Schizosaccharomyces pombe: one gene and its partners. The protein of the gene in region 2 purifies or fractionates together with the protein of the main gene of each other region. This does not show direct contact. Each region holds a gene or a part of one and is shown on either strand. Other genes may lie near its edges.

Region 1 (6,900 bases), on a different chromosome or scaffold from region 2:
CGTTCAGACTATGCGGATGCAGTGTATTGTTCAATGGGTATTGATGCTTTAGAGGAATGGCGCACAAATCCACTTTTTAAAGAGCAATTTTATGGATCAGGACTTATGTTTGTTGGCCGTGACAATGTTGAGTATCGGGACATGAGTCTGGAAAACCTGACAAAAATGGGTGTGTCAGCAGCAAAGTTTCAAACTACAGAAGAATTGCGGAAACTTTTTCCAAAATGGATTGGCGAGCTGAATGATGGAGAAGCTGGGTATGCCAATTTTAGTTCTGGATGGGCCAACGCTGAGCAGTCTGTGAAATCCGTAGTTAATTACTTAGCACATGCCGGTGTTTCTTTCATTAGCGGACCTGAGGGAACTGTTGAAGAGCTTATAACAGAAGAAAACGTTGTTAAAGGCGTGAGGACTACTACTGGAGCTTACATGGCCGAAAAACTTATTTTTGCTACAGGTGCATGGACTGCATCTCTTTTACCTAATGACCACACACGATTCTTGGCAACCGGTCAACCAGTCGCATACATAAAATTGACTCCTGAGGAGTACATCCGCTTTTTGACAAATCCTGTATACTTAGATTTTGATACTGGATTTTATATTTTTCCCCCTACCCCCGATGGTTATCTAAAATTTGCACGCCATGGATACGGATTTACGAGAATGCAAAATCTTAAATCCGGAAAAGTCGAATCTGTTCCACCAAAGAAACCTCTCGTTTCTCCTATCCTGCCCAAGGAAGCGGAATTAGATTTACGCAGAAACCTTCAACGTACTTATGGCGAAGAAATTAGTCAAAGGCCATTTTACAAAACCCGTATTTGTTATTATACCGACACAGCCGATGCCGAGTTTGTATTTGATTATCATCCAGATTATGAAAATCTGTTTGTATGCACAGGTGGTTCAGGCCATGGATTCAAATTCTTTCCAATCCTCGGGAAGTATAGCATAGGGTGTATGTTTCGTGAGTTAGAGGAGCCCTTATTGAAGAAGTGGAGATGGAAGAAAGAAAATTTGGAGTTTGCTGCTTTAGACCACAGCCGAGCTGGACCCTCTCGACAAGAGCTAAGCTAAGATGTGCAATGCTAAACAAAAGAAAGGCTAGCGTCTATCTTTCTAGGCTACCTTATTTTTGTGTTGAATACTAATTGATTCTTCTTCATTCGAAATATTACGAGCATTGAATGTATACACATTAACAATTAACATCAACTTTATAACATCCAGACGATTATGTCGGTTTACTGTTTTCGAATAAAAACAGGGACATTTTCTATACCCTTTACATCGAACTTTATGTCCTGAATTAATATTACAAAGCATGCTAAGTAAAACCTTTTTTTCAATTATTTTAGATATGCATCATATAGCTAACTCGTTGGCTTTAAGAGAACTAAAGCGTCACAGCTTACTGAGGTTGTTTTTGATACTTAGATGCAATTCAAACATTTATAAATAATTAAATTTGACAATCTAATTAGAAATAACATAAAAAAAAAAATCAAAATAGAATAAAATGATCAAGAAGCTTTTTGTTTAAATGCAAATACCGTACTCGCTTTTATTCGTTGTATCGGTTAAACGACGTTTTACTGTTACGTTATCTGCCAATCTCGGATTTACGTAGCATCAAGTACGCATATCTTACCGCAATATTTAGAGGCGACTTAGTTTGTTAATATATTATATTTTTACACTAGTTATTGGAATGTTAACATTTTGAAGAGCAAGATCGTTTTATTTTCAAAAAGATTTTGCTGGATTCGTTGTTACGATTGACGTTCTAATCAACCCAACTTGAGTGTATGTTCATCAGGATCGGTATTTCCGTTTTCACTAGCGTTTTAGCCAGTATCCTGAATTTTTACCAGTTATAAATTGTATGAGGTTGAGAGTTTCTTATCCCTTTGCAACGTGTTTGTTTTTATCATTAGGAGTAGCGGTTTTTGAGACCTGAAAAGTGTGTTTGCTGTTTTTGCACATTTGTTCAAGTTCATGAGAGCTAACTACATTGTTTCAATATGTTACACATGAATAGTGCCAGTAGTGCTGACAGCATGGAAATTATGGAAAGTCATTTTGACCCGACACAACAGAATGATAGCACTATAATAGAAAGTCGTTACTCTCCGGAAGAATATCTGGAGCAGTCATTCGAGATACAAAGGATTATATCAGGAGAAAATAGTGAACCCCAAACTGTAGCGTCGCAAGAAATTAGCGATTCTCAAGAAGAAGACACTACATTAACATCGTCTCAATTTGAGGATTGTGGGACTGAATATAATGAAGTAGTGGAAGATGATGAGTTTCGCTCTGAAGATGAGGATGATTTTATGGACGAAGAGGAAGAATACGCTTTATATGAGGCAGAATTGAGTTCTTCCCCATCTATTCACGAAGAGGTTATTGATTGCAACTTTGTTCATGCCATTCGAGGCTTCGAAGCTACTGTTGAAGGACAAGTTGATGCTACTAAAGGAGACATGATGATTTTATTAGATGATTCTAATAGTTATTGGTGGCTTGTAAAAATGTGCAAAAATTTGGCTATAGGCTATTTACCTGCTGAATACATTGAAACTCCTTCAGAGCGTTTGGCTCGATTAAATAAATATAAAAATTCGGAAACGTCCAATTCTCAGCAGTCTGTGACTCTCCCGCCTTTAGATATTGTGGAAAAAACCTTGGAGGCTCCATCCCCAAATTTTCGTATAAAACGCGTTACCTTTACTTGTTCTTCTAATTCTTCCGATGATGAAATGGATTCTGAAAATGATTATGAGGCAATGGTAAACCGAACTGTCGCAGAGAATGGTCTTGAAATAGAATTTTCGGACAGTAGTGATTCTTCTCTCTCTGCTGAGTACCGTTCCGAATCCGAGGATCATGTAACTGATAGTCCTGCTTACGTGGATCTTACTGAACTGGAAGGTGGGTTTAACCAGTTTAACTCTACTTCTTTTCAAAGTACATCCCCCCTTGGTCTTGAGATTGTTGAAACAGAAATTAATGGCTCTTCCACTACTGCAGATTCGAAAAATTCACATTCCCCCTACTCTAAATTCTCATCAGCTTACCCAGATGCTGAAAATTCGAATATTAGTAAAATAAATATCTCAATAGCAGGAAACAAGGAATTATATGGCAATGCCACCCAGTCTGATCCTTCACTTTACAGTACTTGGATAGCAAATAAGCATAAAACTGCTTCATCTGCAACCGTTGATTCTCCATTGCGAAGATCACTATCAGTTGACGCAATGCAATCGAATGCTTCATTTTCTTCTTATTCGTCTACATCTAATACTGATAAATCATTGCGGCCTTCTTCTTATTCCGCCGTATCGGAATCCTCTAACTTTACTCATGATGTATCTCGTGATAACAAGGAAATCTCATTGAATGCACCAAAATCAATTATAGTTTCTCAGAGTGACTCTTTTGACACATCTAATGTTACTCAGGATGCCCCAAACGATGTAGAAAAGGAACCAATTTCTGGTCAAATGCCCAATAATTTATCAGTTCAATCCTTAAAACAATTAGAAGTGTACCCTATTCGACATTCGGTATCGATTGAAATGCCATCTGAAAAGCTTCTTTCCCCTCGATTATACTCTTCATCTACTCCATCCTCTCCAACAAAAGGATTCCAAAAGGATGACGAAGAAGACAGCGAAAACCGAAAGCAAGCAGATAAGGTTGAATTATCACCAAGTTCGCTTCTTCGTCAGATGTCTTTACCTGTTGATTCTTCCTCGCAAAGTGATGCACAGTGCACAACGTCTTCTGTATACATAACAGCGGAGCGTAAAGCATTTTCTCAATCTTCAATAGATTTATCAACATTGAGTAACCATCATGTAAATAACGAAATAAACAGAAGAAGTTTTGCGGGTGGATTTACAAGTTTAGCAGATGAATTAAGCGAAATGCGTGAGCTACTACACGAATCCCCGGCTCCATTGGAGTGTAATGAGGAAATGGTTATACCTACACCTGAGTTAGATGCTTCAAGTGCAATCCCGAGCTCTTCGATTTCACACGATGAGGATTTGCTACCAAGAAAGAACACAGAGGAATCTACCTCTTCTAGTTCCTTTTCCTCTCTTATCACTTCTCCTGCTTCTTTGCAATATGATGAAAATCCATTCAAGCAATCTGTGGTTGCGGAATTAAATAATAACTCCTCTTCGGTGCCATTCGTTGATTCGGCTCATGCTTCTGATATCCATGCGTACGATAACGACCACGTTAGTACTAAAAACAAAGAATTTAATCGTCGGTTGAGAGAGTTTATATTGGATCCAGACTCTCTTAGCGGGCTATATTGGAGTGTAAAATCAGCGGGAGTAAGGGCATCCCGCCGAGTTTCTCGTAATATCGAGGGTGAATCGGTGTCCTCGGACTTGGATGATATTTTTGCTAACGTATTGAAGGGTTTATCAGATGAGATGGCCTCCCTCTTAAATACGAATCGCTGAAATCTTTGATTAATTTAAAAGTTATACCATGTTTTTCCCCTTTATCAAACTATTTACACTCGTTATAAATCAGTTTTCTGTTTGATTAAACTGTTTCAAAAATTTGTTTGTTAATGTCTTTATGTTTGACTTTTTTTTCTTGTTAATAATATTTTTTAATAACTAACAGCATACCATAGTTGTATAAAGGTCTAAAATTCAATGTGCGGGTATGATTCGGATTATTGAGCGCTATAAAATAAATGTGTTTAAGTAAAATCTACCGAAGTATTAAATGAGCTAGTAATTATCTTATATGCCATTTCAAATTATAGTATCGCTGCATCATATTTTTTGTACAGTAATGCGAGCAGTGAAAATGTAAACTACTCAAGCAGATAGTAGTAGGCTTTGAGGGTATGATAGATTTTATGCATCCGTAAAAATAAGCCAGTGTACTTTACTTATGTGGCATGATGAATCAAATTCAATAGGGTATTAAAAAACAAAATTAGCACGATTTATAGCGATTCTTATTAAAAAATATTTCTCTTCTCTTTTAAACGAAAAAAATGAGATATTAACAAACGATGAACATGTTCATTAATCATTAATATGAGAATATCATCTGCTTCTACTTTTAAGGTATCGGATTCATCATCAAACCAACGGTGTATTTAAATGTATATTTTGTAAGCGATAGGCATATTGATTGTCTCATAATAAATAATTTATGTTTTTTCACTGGTAATTTTCACGCTAAATTAGATGATAATTAGCATCTTGACTACCAATTTCTCACCATCATCATAATTGAAGGGCGAAATTTTCAAATTTGACTTTTAATATTCTTTTAGTAATTGCACGAAGATATGTAAAGGAACATGGAAAAGTAAGAATGAACAATAAAATTTTTATTCCTTTACAAATTTACGACTTGTTATTAATTGGAAAGACAAAGCAATGTTATTTCTGTAACGAATTGAGTTTGTAGGAAGAAACAAAGTTCCTAAAAAGTATGCAAATATCTTCAATATGCGCTAAATAAAGAAAACAGTTCGTACAGTAAACAAAGTCAATAATTCGAAGCGACTAAATAACGAAAAATTTAGAATGAGACGGATATGAAATGCATTTTGAATTGACCCGTTTTCATTTGTACAACCACCATACATGATTATTCTCAACATTGTTTTTTATGAATGCGAAATAAGAAGTATTAGTTTAAAACATCAAGTAATTTTTTAACACGCCACCACGAGTGGACAATGTGAAGTTTACAACTTGTGCTAATTTTTTTGACTACTCAAAAAATTAAATATGCAGCACAAAACGAGAACTGAATTATATGCAAACCCTTATACACTGAGCCTTAAAATTCATGATTTTTTACTTGCAACAGAAAGTAATAAGTAGCTTAAAAAATTAGAGGAAATCTGTTAATCGTTACAGTGGATTCTCACATTAGACAATAACTACATTATTACGATAACAAATCATCGTTCTAAATCACAATATTTTATTATGCTGTTCATTATTTTGTAAACATTAATTTTGTTTGTATTAAAGTAAACCACTAAACCAAAGGAAAAAAATGATAATTAAGTTTGATTCATTAAGAATCAAGATGAAGAAGAAATGAATGCAATAAACGACAATGAAATTGTGAATTTAACAAGGCGAAACAACGAGTTTTTCGATTTCATTAGTTGATGATAACAGTCAATTAGTGAACTGCTATTTTAAAACGAATAAATAAAACCATTATTATAATATTCAATGCCCAGTGTATGTTATTCACGGAACCTTTCAAGCAATGCACTTGCTCATCCAATTCGTCAGGAAATGAAATATGCAATAAAAATACATGTGACATACTTTAAACAGATTTATGATTTGTTTGAGTAAATCACAATCATAAAGGCGCTTCTTTATTGCACATTCTTATGAAGAAAAGAAGCCTCGTGTAAAAAGCGACTTTATCATACAATTAGTAAAGTTAACAATATAATTAGGCTTCACTTTCGGGGTTCATCTCACGCAATGGAACAGCTGTGTATTCATTCACTTGCTGTTTGGCCTCATAACCTAATGATAATTAGCATACACAATTAAAAAGATATCATATTAAATTTACCCATCTTTCTGATCAAGTGTTGGATATGCCAACTGTAAACAATGATCACATCCAAGTTATTTTACAGCACTGGCAAGTTTCAACTTTCAATTGAGTAATTCCTTTCTTATTATTTACAATTCTTACCTGAATATGGAGGCAATGTACTTTCCTCCTCTGAATCATATTCTGGGAGGGGTCCTTTTTCCAAATCGATTTCATGATCTGTCTTCAATTCATCTTCTTCATCTAGAGGACTTTTCAAAGAAGTGTAATTATTCTTCATAATAATAAAATCATTCTTTATTTAAT
Region 2 (8,785 bases):
AAAAAAAACGGACTAATCAGAGAATCGTTTTCTTCTTGAATATCTTGATCTAAGTTAAGATAATGATAATTCCTTAAATGCCAGAGTACGTGTGAAGAGGACGAGTAGTTAGCATATTGTGATTTTGTATCATCTAATACTGAAAGAGAACCAATGTTTCGCTGTGTCTCAGCATCTGCCGAAGGCGTGGAAGGAAGATTATGAGATTGTTGGTTTTCATAATCAGATTGCGATTTAGTGCCGACCTCATTTAAACGTTTTTCCAGCATGCTAACTCGGGATAGTAACTGATCTATCAATTCGTCAGCTTCGCTACCCCGTTCAAAGCGCTTGTCATAATTAGTTTTCCCAGGATCTATATAAATACATGACTGGATTGTTGATCGCTTTAAGCAATTGGAACAAGGTCTTCCATGATCACATTTAAGTTTTTTTCTTCGACAAGCCAAACACGAATGGATCGCCCTACGTGATGTCTGCCCTGATTTTTTAGAACCAGACTTGGTTGTTTCACTCATATGCTCTTCTTAAACATCAAGTTATATAATATTGTGAAAGATAAAGTACAATTGAATGCTAGATTCTTCTAATTCTTGAATCAATAGACGTCAAAAAAATGATACTTGCGACCAATTGACAGGAGCGAAAAGAAGTTAATTCCGTAATATATAAAAAAGTAGTCTTGGCTTTAAATAGGCAAGAATTATATCTTTAAATCTTATTGCTATACTGATTTTGAACCAAAGACACTTGTGTTTGGATGTTGGCGAAAAGTAAATTCGTAACACCAAACACAAGGCACACTGGACAACTTTTATAAATATCCACTAATTTCAATAGTAAGCAATCTCAACAGCAGACAGCTTTCGGATAACATGCGTTAGATACGTAAAGCACTCAAATAGAAACATATAATTTACACAGGGATTTAATGCATTTACTAACAAATTACCATTCTTAAATATGACTGATTTCTATTTCAAAATTCAATTGCCTGCCTTGCGACAAACTATCCATCAAATTTAGTACTTGCATTTTTTTCATTGATCACAATTTATACCCCGTATGTATAAAATCTTACTAAAAGGCATCTTAATTGTCTGAGTAAGAACTTTGGTTAAGGGTAGACGGTTGAGAGCATGCACTTATTTGAATCACTTTATGGCATTTTCTTTATAATAGTACAACATTGCAGAAGTGAATGACATCTAAAGCTACTGCTACTATGATTTTGCATTTGTCTTACTTTAACATTATCTACCATGCGTTTCCAACGAATCCTATTTTAAAGTGTAAAGTCAGTTAAATGTTAACTGTGTGTACCTTCCTTCCTTCGAACGATCGCATTTATTGTTGACAAACATTACTCAAACTTTCAAATGACTTTTATTCAAAAAATTTTAAAATTCTACCAAATATTTGTAGGACAGAGAAAGAAAAAAAAAATATATATGATTGTAGGTAAATCCTTAATTTAAAGAGGTTAAGTGCGTTCTAGTATCTGTATTTTCAAATAGTAAACATAAGTAACATGTGACCTGTTTAATTTAGCATTAAAATGGAAAAAGTATAGAGCAATTAGGGTGCCTTGTAAATAAAAAAATTGCAATTCAATCTATAATTTTTTTATTAGTATCATTTTGCTTATTTTTTGAGTCCGTACGAAAGTTACGTTTTGCCTTCCCAAATTGCCGCAATGGTAAATTTTCCGCGCACAATTTAATCAAGGCTATTATCACTGAAAAAATCTCAACTGCAAGAATTCTTTTTCCTTCGGCCAACACTTGCTACGCAAATTGAATTGCCATTTGAGGCAGATTTTTTTGTTTAAATTCGAAGAAAAAATCCCAATATTAAGTCATGTCTGAGAAACAAACTATCAAAGCCCTTCCTGCACACAATCCTACTCAGGTGAAAAAACTTGGTCCCGTTAGTGGATTTTTGTCAGGTGGTCTTGCAGCTTGTGGTGCTGTAACACTGACAAATCCTTTCGAAGTTATTAAAACGCGTTTTCAACTTCAAGGTCAATTGACAAAATTGGATCCTTCTAAGCGAATTTACAAAAGCGTCGGTCAGGCATTTTCTCTAATCGCTAGACATGAAGGTATAAGAGGTCTTCAACGAGGCCTTGGTACTGCTTATGTTTATCAAATCTGCCTCAATGGCTGTCGTCTCGGGTTTTACGAACCGATTCGACGTACTCTGAATACGTGGTTCCTTGATGATCCCAAGGGTAATAAATTAGCTATTAACGTTGCAAGTGGCGCCGGTTCAGGTTTATGTGGTGCCTTGTTTGGCTCTCCCTTTTTCTTGGTTAAGACTCGCATGCAGTCGTATTCTCCTAAATTTCCCGTTGGCCAGCAGTATGGTTACAAGCATATATTTAATGCATTCAGTCGTATTATTAAGGAAAATGGTGTTAAGGGTTTGTTTGTTGGTGCTGATGCTGCCATTCTCCGTACTGTCTCTGGTTCCTCTGTTCAGCTTCCTATCTATAATTGGGCTAAACGCATGATTGAGCATTACAATCTATTGGAAGAGGGTATGATCAAACACTTAACTGCTAGTGCTGTTTCTGGATTTGGTGTATGCTGCACCATGCAAATTTTCGATACTGTTATGACTCGTATGTACAACCAAAAGAACAAGGAGCTTTATAAAAATCCGATTGATTGCATCCTTAAAACAATCCGCTCTGAAGGATTCTTTGCCTTATATAAGGGTTTTGGTGCTCACTTGGCCAGAATCGCTCCTCACACAATTTTCTGTCTTACCTTCGTGGAGCAAACCAATAAACTCTTTTTGAAATTCCAAAAGGATTAAGTTGTTTTTTCAAACGCACGTTTCTTTATTTATAAATAATTTTGGTACTAAACCATAAAAACCCCCAGTGGCTTTGGTGTATATCAAGTGAACAGTTAAATTGTAAAGAAATGATGTTTGTATCTAAGAACGATTTTTATTTACATTCGTTGTCTCGTTACTTATTTCCACTCTACTTTCATTTAAAAGTCGATTTTTCTTTTCAAGCTGTTTTTGATCAATCGGCATGTTTTTGTCTTTTGTAATATATATCCGTCAGTTATCTCAATATATGTACGTATTTGTTTTTGGATTTCAGGCATCTGGCTGCGTTTGTATATCAACTTACCTTTTATTTAGTTATTAATATACTTATTTTCTCTATAATTAAAGATTGGAAACATTACCGCTTTGTGTAGTCACAATGGATAAATTTCTTCATTTTGCGTCGTTTTTATTTGAAATCTTTACATTTCGCCAACAGTTATATGTTTTTTAGATAAATCATGTTAGTTTAATAAAATATTTTCTGAACTTCTTATCGTAGTATTCGTGTTCACTAATTTGCTCGTTCCTGCTGACTCTAATAAACGGATCGGACACCTCTATTCAGTACAACATAATAAAATCTGAATATATCCGTTACATATAAAAATAATCTGTTTGTTTTTAAGGATCTATTAAAGGTTTAGTAAAAAAAAACCGCCTTACGGTTTAAACTGCTGTTTGGTAAATTCAGTTAAAAAAAAGAAAAAAAATGACAAGTAAGTTAAAATACCTTGCTACTCATCTGCTAATTTTTTAGTTCGTTCATTGAATTTGTTTATCATAGACAAAAAGCATCAACATAAATCTAGCTTGAGCAGTTTTCAAAACTGTAAGTTGGGTATTGACGCAAGTTTTTACTTGACTCAAATTATTCATTCCTTTACCCCACAGGAACTTCAAAGTTTGGCAGTAAATGGTGAATCCGAATATCTACAACACAGAATTTCGGAATTCCTTGAGCAGTTGAGAACTGAGAATATCACACCCATTTTTGTTTTCAATGGTATACCTCTTACCTTTGAAGCCAGCAGCCAGCTGGAAGTGCCGGGAAAGCAAAAAAGTCATAGTGCATTGACAGATTTCGAAGCTTTTGATCCTTATGATGCAAATATTCAGCGTAATATGTACCGCATGGACGCAAGTGGTCCTGCGAATTACGGCGAAAGTAAACCAACACTTTTGTACACCAATCAGCGAGATCATTTAGATCGTCTTTGCGACCAGGTAAAGTTTTACTTAGATCAATGTAATGTGGAGTATTTTGTCGCCCCGTATCTGGCTATGGCTCAATTAGCATATTTTCTAAACGGCACATCTTCACCTTACATCGATGCCATCTATGGTTCCACGGATCTGCTTCTTTTTGGTGTTAAAAAATTTATTACTTCTATGAACACATCTTCTAACGTTAAAATCTCATCTGACCCTTCATCCCCATCAACTCAAACAACTATCAATTCGGCCGCTAAAAGTTCATTCACATGGTTAGATGGAAATGCCCTTCTTCAAGACACGAACGGCCTTTCATGGCAGCAGTTCATCGATTCCTGTTTATTGTGTGGTACTGCTATTTCTCCTACATTTCCTCAGATTGAGGGTACTTTTCTAATTAAAAGCGCAATGGAGCTTGTTCGTATGTTTGGTTCTGCGTATCGTGCAGTCCTTCATTTTGCTGAAATCTTTCCCCAGCCCATTTTTCAAGATTATCTTCAACAGTACAAAAGGGCTGTTTGTTTCTCTAAGTTTGGAATTGTGATGGATACAAAAGGTCTCACTTTACCACCAGTTCCCACAGAATCTGTTCCTAACGACATAAATATATATTTTGGCACCCGTCTTCCCAACGAGATTTATTTTTACATTTCTCGCGGTCTTATTCCTTGCAAAATGATAGGTGCTTTAGTATCTGGATGTTTTAGTGATCCTGTTTCCATACTTGAACAACATATTGGTGACAAAGCATCACAAGGAACATTTTCTGGTGCTAATTCTGGTTTAAATCCTGGTCGCGACAATGCAGCAGCTGTAGCGGCTGTGGATCAACGGCGATTTGTTGACGATTTAGAAGAAATATGGTCGCAGGGGCTAAATTTATTGACCCAACCGCTTAACAGATTTTACCAAGCCAGAGATATTGTTTCCCTTCATGGCCATAATCAGCAAGCTTCTTTGAAGGTAATGCACAGCTATGATCCTCCTTTGTATAATGATACGAGAGCATGGATGATATACGAAGAAAACTTACCGAGTTATTTATCTAGTAATTTTTTAAAGGAAGAACCCGTTGTATTATTTGATCTACTACGTGCTTTGAACGATCCGGTATTTGTAAAGAAAAGCTTTTGCACTGAAGGTAATATTGGCATAAAAAACCCTCCCAAGCATCCTCTGTCTTCTACTGCGGAAATCGTCTTAAGTTCTTGCTACAGATTTTTGCAAATTAGATCTTTCGTTTTAACATCTCATCAATTAACATCTTGGGGATGCCCCTTGTTAAAAGCGTTGGAAAATTGTCACTTACAGAACCAAACTTCCGTTGTTGTTTTATTCGAGCTTCTTAGACTAAGACAATTAAAAGAGCCCTCTTTACTTTCCTCCTCAAGTGCAAGCATCGCCGATTTATCCATAACTTCTGCCACAGAGTTCTTGGCAAAGGTTGCAACATTTCTACCAATAAAACAGAGACCTGAAGTTAGTAAAATTTCTATAGTTGATGAGAATTTATTACAGTTTTATCAGCTACAAACTAGCTTCGGATCCAACTTGAAGGAACTCATGGCCATGATTCTTGCCTCGGTCATCTTGAACAGAAACGTCGACAAAAGCAAAATAGATCCTAAACTTATCCGAAAAACGTACGTGTTTTTTTCTCTTTCTCCTTTTTTGTTTATATTTAAAGTTTCTAACCAATTTAGCTTACCTTTTCAAAACATAAATGGTAGCCTTGTCTCAGGTTTTGTTGTCAAGCGCTTTTTTGAAATCATTTCAAAAGAGCAAGAAGCCAGTTCTCAACAGGAAAACATCCAGAAGGCTTATGAAATAATAGAAAAGGAATTCCCAACCATTGGATCTGCGGAAAACCATATTGCCCAGTTTTTGGAATTCTGGAAAACTTTTATGGAAGGGGTTAAGGAAGCAGAAAATACAAGTGCCATTGGCAAGCTCGTTTTAAGTAAACTCTTCCTTACTAACCAATGGATATTTTCTCTTGGCTTATGAAGACCAGAACTAGTAGTTTATGAATAGAAATAAATTAGTGAGAGAAGTATCCTTCTTTTAGCGGGAGCTTTTAACACATTCGGCACAGTCATAATGCACATTTACATGAATTACTTTCCCTCATACTGTCGAAGCATTTTCAACATGCTATACACTCATGTGATTACACTTGATTATTGTTGAGATATTATTTCGAACAAGTAAAGTATTGTTAATATTAATATTCAACTACATTGTTTCTTCCCGAAAAAAGGAAGGGAAAGAAAAATAGAGAAGCACAGCTTTGAATGAAAACCCAATGATGTTTAAACTTTTTTATAGATATAGTTTAATTTGTTCTAAAGGATACTATATTTATTTTTAGCAATACACTTACCTGTCAAAAAATAACTTATACCGTTGTTTTTACACTATAGTATGGGAATAATTTTTAACTTATTTGATAAGTTCAAGCGGATTTTTTAGATTTTAGTTTATGTGTACTGGCTCACTCACAAAAAACCGAATTCGCATCAGAAACATAATTTTACCTAATCAATTTCACGAATTAAAAACCTTGTGCTTACAGAAAGACTTGCTTAGTTTAACCACTTACAAGCTGGATAGTATAATTTTGTTTTAAGATATTTACTGTATAGATGCTGTTTACGACAACTTGCTAGCTTTGAGAATCTCCAATTCTCACACTAACATCTAATAATATTTGTCGATAGTTAACAAAATTCTGACAATGTCAGTTTTTAAATATAAACGGTAGTAGTTGAAGTAACTGACAGTTAATCAAAATCTCTGTAACTTATTGTTTACATTGCATATTGCGAGACTTGACACACTATTTAGAAAGTCTTAAGCAAGCGTAAGCCATTACTGTGGAGTTCATTAAGCTTAACTTTAATGAACTGCTATTAGTGTAGTCTCATTTTGTAAGGCGTAGCACAATGTCCCGTGTGGTTCAGCAAGCTACCATCAAATAATAGTTTGATTTTCCATTTGGTGTGAATCTAGCAACAACCAACATTATTTGTTCAGATGCACTTATGAAGTCTAGTGGTATCGCAGGCGATTCCAATGGATTTGAAACAAATTTTCTAAATGAAACGACTAATCGAGAAGAAGATGGTGCATTTAATTGGAACGCTGCAGATGATGGCACTAACGAACGAAGAGAGGATATTCATGTACGATTTCAGGATAGCGCTCTTCCATTAGGAATTGATGAAAATGAGCTTGATGAAATTGATATAAATGGGGACAGCAAAAAATTGGATTCTGTTGAAGTTGACGAATCACACGATGTTAATTCGCCATCAGATAGCAGACTGAAATCATCTTTCAAGTCGGTATTAGAACTGACAGCTAATTCTATGGTTTCAGTGTTAACTCCATCTACCAAAACTGAGCAGACCTCGAAAGGAAAGGGAAAAAAGAAGAAAGCACATGTTTCCTTCCTAGAGGGACCTGTGGAAGAAATCCCATTAGATGATATTGAGCCTACTTCTCCTCGTGAGGCATCACCTGTGTTCAATGGGCGTCCTCCAATTCCTCCGGAATTTTTAAAGTCGCGGCATAAAGAGTTTACAATACCAAATCCTTTGCAGTTCATTTCCAATTTCTTATCCAACTTGTTTTCGCGTGATACACGGTATTTGAAGTCGAGTCATGGTCGAATAATTATCATAAACCCTTACGATGACTCCTCCCAAATTGATGAGCGTACAGGAAAGCCCTATATGCAAAACAGCATTGTTTCGTCTCGGTACAACAAATACAATTTTGTCCCTTTACAGATCATTGCTCAATTTTCAAAAACTGCCAACTGTTATTTTTTGCTGATTGCTATTATGCAAATGATTCCAGGTTGGTCAACCACCGGTACTTACACTACAATCATCCCTCTACTTATATTTATTTCAATTGCAATCCTTCGTGAAGGGTTTGATAATTATCGGCGATATCGCCAAGACCGCGTAGAAAATAGAATTCAAACTCAAGTTCTTCGTCACGTTGATGTAGATCCGCCTATTGTTGAAGAGCACTCATCTTTTTTTCGTCGTCGGCGGTGGAGAAGAAGTAGATCTCAAGAATCTGCTTCAAGGAGTACTATTCGATCAACTGATGAAAGAGAACCTGAAAGAACCTCAGAAGATCCACCTCAACTTCCTCCCTCTCCCTCTTCCCCCTCTTCTCCGGCGTTAAGTGTCAAACCTAACATTGACCCGCAACCCCCCTTGTATAACTCTACTTTAACTACTACTCGCTCCATACCTGCAAATAAGCCTACTTTTTTTTGGGCTAGCTGTGATCGGAAAGATGTTCGAGTTGGTGATATTATTCGACTGACAAGTGATCAAACTCTTCCAGCAGACGTAATAGCTTTGTCGAGTCCCAATCCTAATGGCGCTATTTACATCGAAACAGCTGCACTTGATGGTGAAACATCCTTGAAAACTAGACTAGTAAACTCCACGCTCCGCTCTCTTTGCAAAGACATTAATGATTTAATACGATTGAGTGGTACGTGTACTGTTGAAGACCCGAATGGTGATCTTTACAATTTTAATGGAAGTATGAAACTTGACTCAATACAAGGAGAAATACCATTGTCTAATAACGATGTTCTTTACAGAGGCTCGAATTTGCGAAATACTTCAGAATTGTTCGCTTTGGTTATTTTTACTGGCGAGGAATCCAAAATTCGCATGAATGCTGTTCGAAA
Region 3 (5,484 bases), 1.2 Mb from region 2:
TTTGCTAAACAGTCATTTTATAAAGAGTTCGTTCAAGTACCAGCAAGTTAGGATTAATTTTAATATTATAGATCCTTTTTTTTTTTTTTTAAATTTAAAAATAATATTTAATATCAGTTCGAATTTAATTATATTTCCCATAAAAAAAAAAAAAAAAAAAATACACATTTAATAACGCATATTACATGTAAATATTAGTTCCCTAGTTTTTGCTAGGCTGCAGTCAATATTCTATATTGTACAAGCATTAAGGGTAAATTAAGAAAAAATCAAAGTACAAATGTTTAATGAATTAAATCTTCTGAATCGAATAACAAAAATCTAATATACTTGCTATGAAACTCTCGGTTGTGCCAAGCGTTTTACACTCACCAGTAACAGCTTTTTCTCTTCTTTGATCTATTCCCTTTTCATTGTGGGAAGTGTGTAAAGACAACTTGCCGTCAGCTACAGCATCTATAACTGCTTTGAGGATACAGTAAACTACGATGACTATTTAACAAAATCTTTTTTTAAAATAAAGCCATACTGAAGGATAATCGGTATAACAATGCTTAACATTATTTACCAATTCAGTGGAATTACAGAACAAAGAGATGCACTTTTTGTTCAATTGAGTTATGTCAACCACAAGCACATACATTGGGAACGACGGCATCGTAATGGATAAGATTAAGGACATTAAACTTAAGTAATGTGTAATGTAGTGAGATATCGATGACAGTTAATGTTAACGACAGCATAGCGATTAGTCCTAATGCGTTGCTCTTACTTTCCTTATTTTTTATTTTTCAGTAATTAATAAATTATCTTGAGGCTTCCGTTCCTTTTGAGCAGAATAAATCAATGAATAAAAAGTTTTATAGAGAAGTTAAGACAATTATTTTTTAATAATAAGTATTGCTAAACTGATAGATATGGGCTGCACATTAACAGTAAACTTTCCAATTCTACTAGAAAGCTAACAAGCCACCATTCAGCCAAAGACTCTTTCTAAAAAATTTGATTATATCTATAGAGTATTAACAGTATAACTTCAAATCGTAAACAATACAAGCACTAGCCAAGGGGGTAATAGCGTATCTTAACGTCCTGAGCACATTGCACGCTAACACTTGTAGTGCCCTAAACACAAATATTTTGCAGAGGCGAATCTGCTAAAAGCCAATAATTCGGTTCTTTGACAAACAGCCAAACATTAACCATAACTTTTTTAAAGATGTCTTCGTCTTTTAAAAATGCAGGTCAAAGGAAAAATCATCGAGAAAGAGCTCAGCCTTTTGAAAGACGAAAATGGGGTTTGCTAGAGAAACGAAAGGATTATGCGCAGCGTGCTCAGGATTATAAGACAAAGCAAAAGAAGTTAAAACGTCTTCGTGAAAAAGCCCTTGAAAGAAACCCTGATGAGTTTTATCATGAAATGACACACAAAAAGACCAAAAATGGAGTACCCCTTGAACAGCGCGAGGATTCAACCATCGATATGGACACAATCAAAATTTTGAAAACTCAAGACATTGGCTGGATTCGGCATCATCGCAATGTTGAACGTGCTAAAATTGATCATTTGGAACAACAAATGCATACTGTGGGAGCTCATCGGAATAAAAATGAATCCAGGAAGCACACCATCTTCGTAGACAATGTTAAAGAGGCAAAAAGTTTTAACCCAGCTGAATTTTTCCAAACTACAGATGATCTGGTTGGTCGAACCGAAAATCGTGTAAAGAAAGATCAAATTGAAAACAATGAACTGACAAACCAGCCTTTTTCTGGAAAATTGCACTCAAAATTAAAAGAAAAGGCGGCGACCGAGCTTCTTTTGCGCCAGAAACGCGACAAAAAATTGGCGGCTGCTGAAGAACGTGTCGAGCTTGATAGACTTTTACAGGGAAAAGGAGGCCGTCAGAAAAAGAAGGTCGTAAACGGAAAACCGGTATACAAGTGGAGGAATGAGAGAAAACGATAATTTCCTTAAATTGCTCCTAACATAATTGAGGAACTGTTTTCAGTTTGTTGTGTTTGTGATTTACTGGTTGTTATTTCGTTTCTTTCATTTAGTTGTACCTTTTTTGTTATTTATCATTTTCTCTATTTAGTATGAATGTACTTAGGTTTTGGAATTTTTAACGAATGGATTGCTTATTTATGAATAATTTGGTTTAATCATCTGTCTAATTCTAAGCAAATATCCATCTATTTCTCATATTGAGCTTCATAGTGTTGTGAGTCATTCAATATTACCGAATTATTTTATCGGTGAGTATTAAGAGTTTGTCTTAGGTTGTAATTCCCAAACTTTAAAAGTGTATGGAATGGTTTAATTCAATGCCTTGTAGTGTGATAAATTGTTTCCTTTCTTTTTGTAATTGCAGAAGCTAGAATTATAGTTGTTATTTTATTCTAATACTCTCTAAAGAAAATGTAAAGTACGAAACGTACCAAAAAATTCAAGCTATATCAAAAAGTGAATATCTATAGCACAGGATATAAGCTGAATAACAATGAAGACAATGCAAAAATTTTTACCTTAATAATTATACAATTCCTAGAAAGTCTTCCATAGAATGAAGAAATTTAGAGCAAGCAATACTTGCACTCAGAGGGTAGTCACTAATACTGATTTTTTCGTCAACCCAACCATCCGAAAAATCGTCCGGACCATGAGCCATAGCACCAATTGCAATACAAACCGATTGGTTGGGCTGTAAAGTCTCAAGATACTTGCGAGGAGGAACAGTAGGAGCATCAAAAGATAATGTTGCCTTTCGACAGTTCGGAGGAAGGTAGTCTGTAACTGGATTTTTGATCACCTTTAGAAGCTTTTCATTGCCATTCACACTACGAATAGAGAGCTTGTGAAGAAGCTGCACCATCAAACCGGAAAAACGTTTGAAAGTTCTAGGAATACGAACAGAGGGATTCACTTCAATCAAAACTTTCTTAGCTGTGTGAATGTACACTTGAAGACGACCTGCCTTATTCAGTGGAGAATCCAAAAGAGTCAATAAGCATTGATGAGTAATATCAGGACGCGCTTGAGCAATGTTACGGTTTAACTTTTTTAAAATACCTTGATGATCATCGCAATTTAGAAGTTGATATTTTGCATCCTTAGCCTTGCCAACTTTATAAATTTCCAAACATGCTTGGTCCAATACGACAATCAAACGCTGTGTTGTAGTATCATGAGAACCAATTGACCTCGCTGGTATTGGCGCCATATGGGTAGTAACACGATGAACCGACCCTGCAGGAAGTGGACGAGCTTTGACGGTTTTGGAAGAAGCACCATTGGGATCCTCCTTTTCTTCATCTGACTTTACTACATTATCTATTTCTAAAGCCTCAACACCCAACTCTCGATCGATAGACTCTGGCTTTTTCGAAAGAGCTTCAACAGAAGCTTGATTCTCACGAAGTCGTTGTAATTCTTCATCTTCAATAGAACCTACTGCACCATTACTCTGCTCCTTTTCATCTTGCATCAATTCACTAGCAGTTTCACCTGACGTTATTGTTTCACTCGATTGACTTCTCTTTATGAATTTGGGTTGATTGGTTTTCTCAGAAACCTCTAAAGAGCCTCTAGACTTCCTTTTGGAATAAGTAGGCATGAATGATGAAAAAGCTAGTCTACCAGATATTGGGTTTCGACAAAAAATAATGGCTTGAGAAATTTGCTTTTGGTGGTAGCTACAAATAACTATCAGATCTAACCTACCTTGCTTAAACAAGATAACGCATATTTACGAACTTACGATCCGCTTAAACCAACAAGTGTAAAACCAAACATATCACTCGCGCATTGAGCTGAACAAAACAATGACTTATCTAAATCAACAAAAAAATTATAAAAAATCTACACACGCCGAAAATTTGTTTTCAATGAATTCTATATTAACTAAAAAAATGCAGGTAATATAAGTCCATCTTCAGCAAAAAAAAAAAAAATAAAAATAAAAATAAAAAAAAAACGGAAAAGAAGTAAAGGAAGTGGATTAAAAGGAATGTGTAAACAGGTATCGTCAACACACAGAAAAACCGTGCCTTCTAATACTGTTGCACATATCAGGTGGATAAATACACAAACGCGACACATCAGTGACGGAAATATGTGTTTATATTAGAAAAACTAAATCACCACTTAATGCAACATTATTTGTAAACAATGAAGGAAAGAGATAAATTTAAAGTTTTAAAAAGAAATGATTCCAAAACTATTTACAAATAAGAGCAATAAATGTTGCCGTAATTCAGTCTTTACGTAAAAACGATTTGCGAGTGAAAGATATTATAATCAACGATAAGTTGACTATCTTGACTAGCAATGAAAGCTCAAAAACCGAGGGCTTGAAAATTGCAAACATTCAAAAAAAAAAAAGCATAAAGCACATTGCATGTACTCCTTGAGCGTAGAAGATAGGTTACAACATTCGCCAAAAAAGGTGACCACATAAATATCACTTATATTAGCAAACATCATGTATATCATGGACGAAAGTTTAAAAGGTTGGCAACCAAAGCCAAGTTCATGAGAGGAAAAGAAGATTATAACTATAATCCTCGACACAGGAAAATAAGATGTACTGTCATCGCAAAGCAATAGGCAACACGTCAGTAATAATTAGGAAAATTAAAAGAAAAAAACACAAGAGAAAAAAATGTACGAGACCGGTGAAACAAGTTTCAAACAAATCTCGATAAAAGCACAACGAGATTATTAATAGCATAATAAAAACTAGCCAGAATAAAATTAATGCAATATGCAGATCATAACACCCAACGCTCATAAAAAAGGTAACAAATGCCCATTCTAAGCATACAAATCGAAAAGTAAACGAGGCACATTTTCGATAAATAGTCATTGACGAACATTTCCATATTATAAATGAATTGCTCGCTCAATTAACTAACAAGGAATAAGATGAAGTTAAGGAAATCTAGTCAATAAAAATCAAGATTTCAAATCCAAGAAATCCATTAAAAACGTTGGCATTTCTTTTAACTATAAGCCGTTAGAAAAGGAATTCAGTAGCTTTTGTATGAAATCCTCTAAAAACCAAAAGCGAAGGAAACAAAATTAACCCATATAGAGAGCTAAATTCTATAATCCAAAAAAACAGAAAGACAGAGGTACATAGGGTGATAGTAAGAAAGTCATAATACTAGCAAAAATACTAGACTATGATAAATTCTCTTGGCCAATGTTCAAATAAATAGTGCTACAACGAACACGTGTAGATAAACGCGGAGACGAAAGAAGGTGAAACAAAAAAGTGGAATAGTTAGAACAGAACACGAGGCTTAAAAAGGTGATATGTCCTTAGACATAAATAAGCATCCAATGAAACTATGCACTTCCTTGACGCAGCATACGGAACAAGCGCTGTTCACGATCGCGATGAAACAATAAGTCTAGGGCAGAAGTAGAATGACAATGAATGCCGTTATTAGGGGAATTCAAAGTAGGGGTAATGTTAC

Evidence for each region. The genes of interacting proteins can lie anywhere in the genome.
Region 1: the proteins of mkt1 (region 2) and tea4 purify together in Schizosaccharomyces pombe (affinity purification with mass spectrometry, with the first as the bait; one study listed by BioGRID). This does not show direct contact.
Region 3: the proteins of mkt1 (region 2) and mra1 purify together in Schizosaccharomyces pombe (affinity purification with mass spectrometry, with the first as the bait; one study listed by BioGRID). This does not show direct contact.

Annotation. Positions count from the first base shown.
Region 1 is NC_003423.3:586,702-593,601, forward strand, and holds tea4 (tip elongation aberrant protein Tea4), read left to right. Parts: upstream 1-1,657; 5' UTR 1,658-2,027; coding exon 2,028-4,493; 3' UTR 4,494-4,733; downstream 4,734-6,900. Other genes in the region: fap1 (L-pipecolate oxidase), read left to right, coding at 1-1,080. UniProt on the Schizosaccharomyces pombe protein: Cell polarity factor essential for the bipolar localization and function of structures containing the cell-end marker tea1 during the normal cell cycle.
Region 2 is NC_003424.3:1,013,650-1,022,434, reverse strand, and holds mkt1 (post-transcriptional RNA stability regulator Mkt1), read left to right. Parts: upstream 1-3,381; 5' UTR 3,382-3,559; coding exon 3,560-3,566; exon of another isoform or gene 3,567-3,607; coding exon 3,608-5,705; intron 5,706-5,765; coding exon 5,766-6,069; 3' UTR 6,070-6,332; downstream 6,333-8,785. Other genes in the region: protein toe2, read right to left, coding at 1-518; oac1 (anion transporter), read left to right, coding at 1,861-2,823; dnf1 (P-type ATPase), read left to right, coding at 7,107-8,785.
Region 3 is NC_003424.3:2,227,796-2,233,279, forward strand, and holds mra1 (rRNA (pseudouridine) methyltransferase Mra1), read right to left. Parts: upstream 3,659-5,484; 5' UTR 3,618-3,658; coding exon 2,538-3,617; 3' UTR 2,168-2,537; downstream 1-2,167. Other genes in the region: U3 snoRNP-associated protein Utp11, read left to right, coding at 1,220-1,969; protein Edc1, read right to left, coding at 5,354-5,484. UniProt on the Schizosaccharomyces pombe protein: S-adenosyl-L-methionine-dependent pseudouridine N(1)-methyltransferase that methylates the pseudouridine corresponding to position 1189 (Psi1189) in S.cerevisiae 18S rRNA.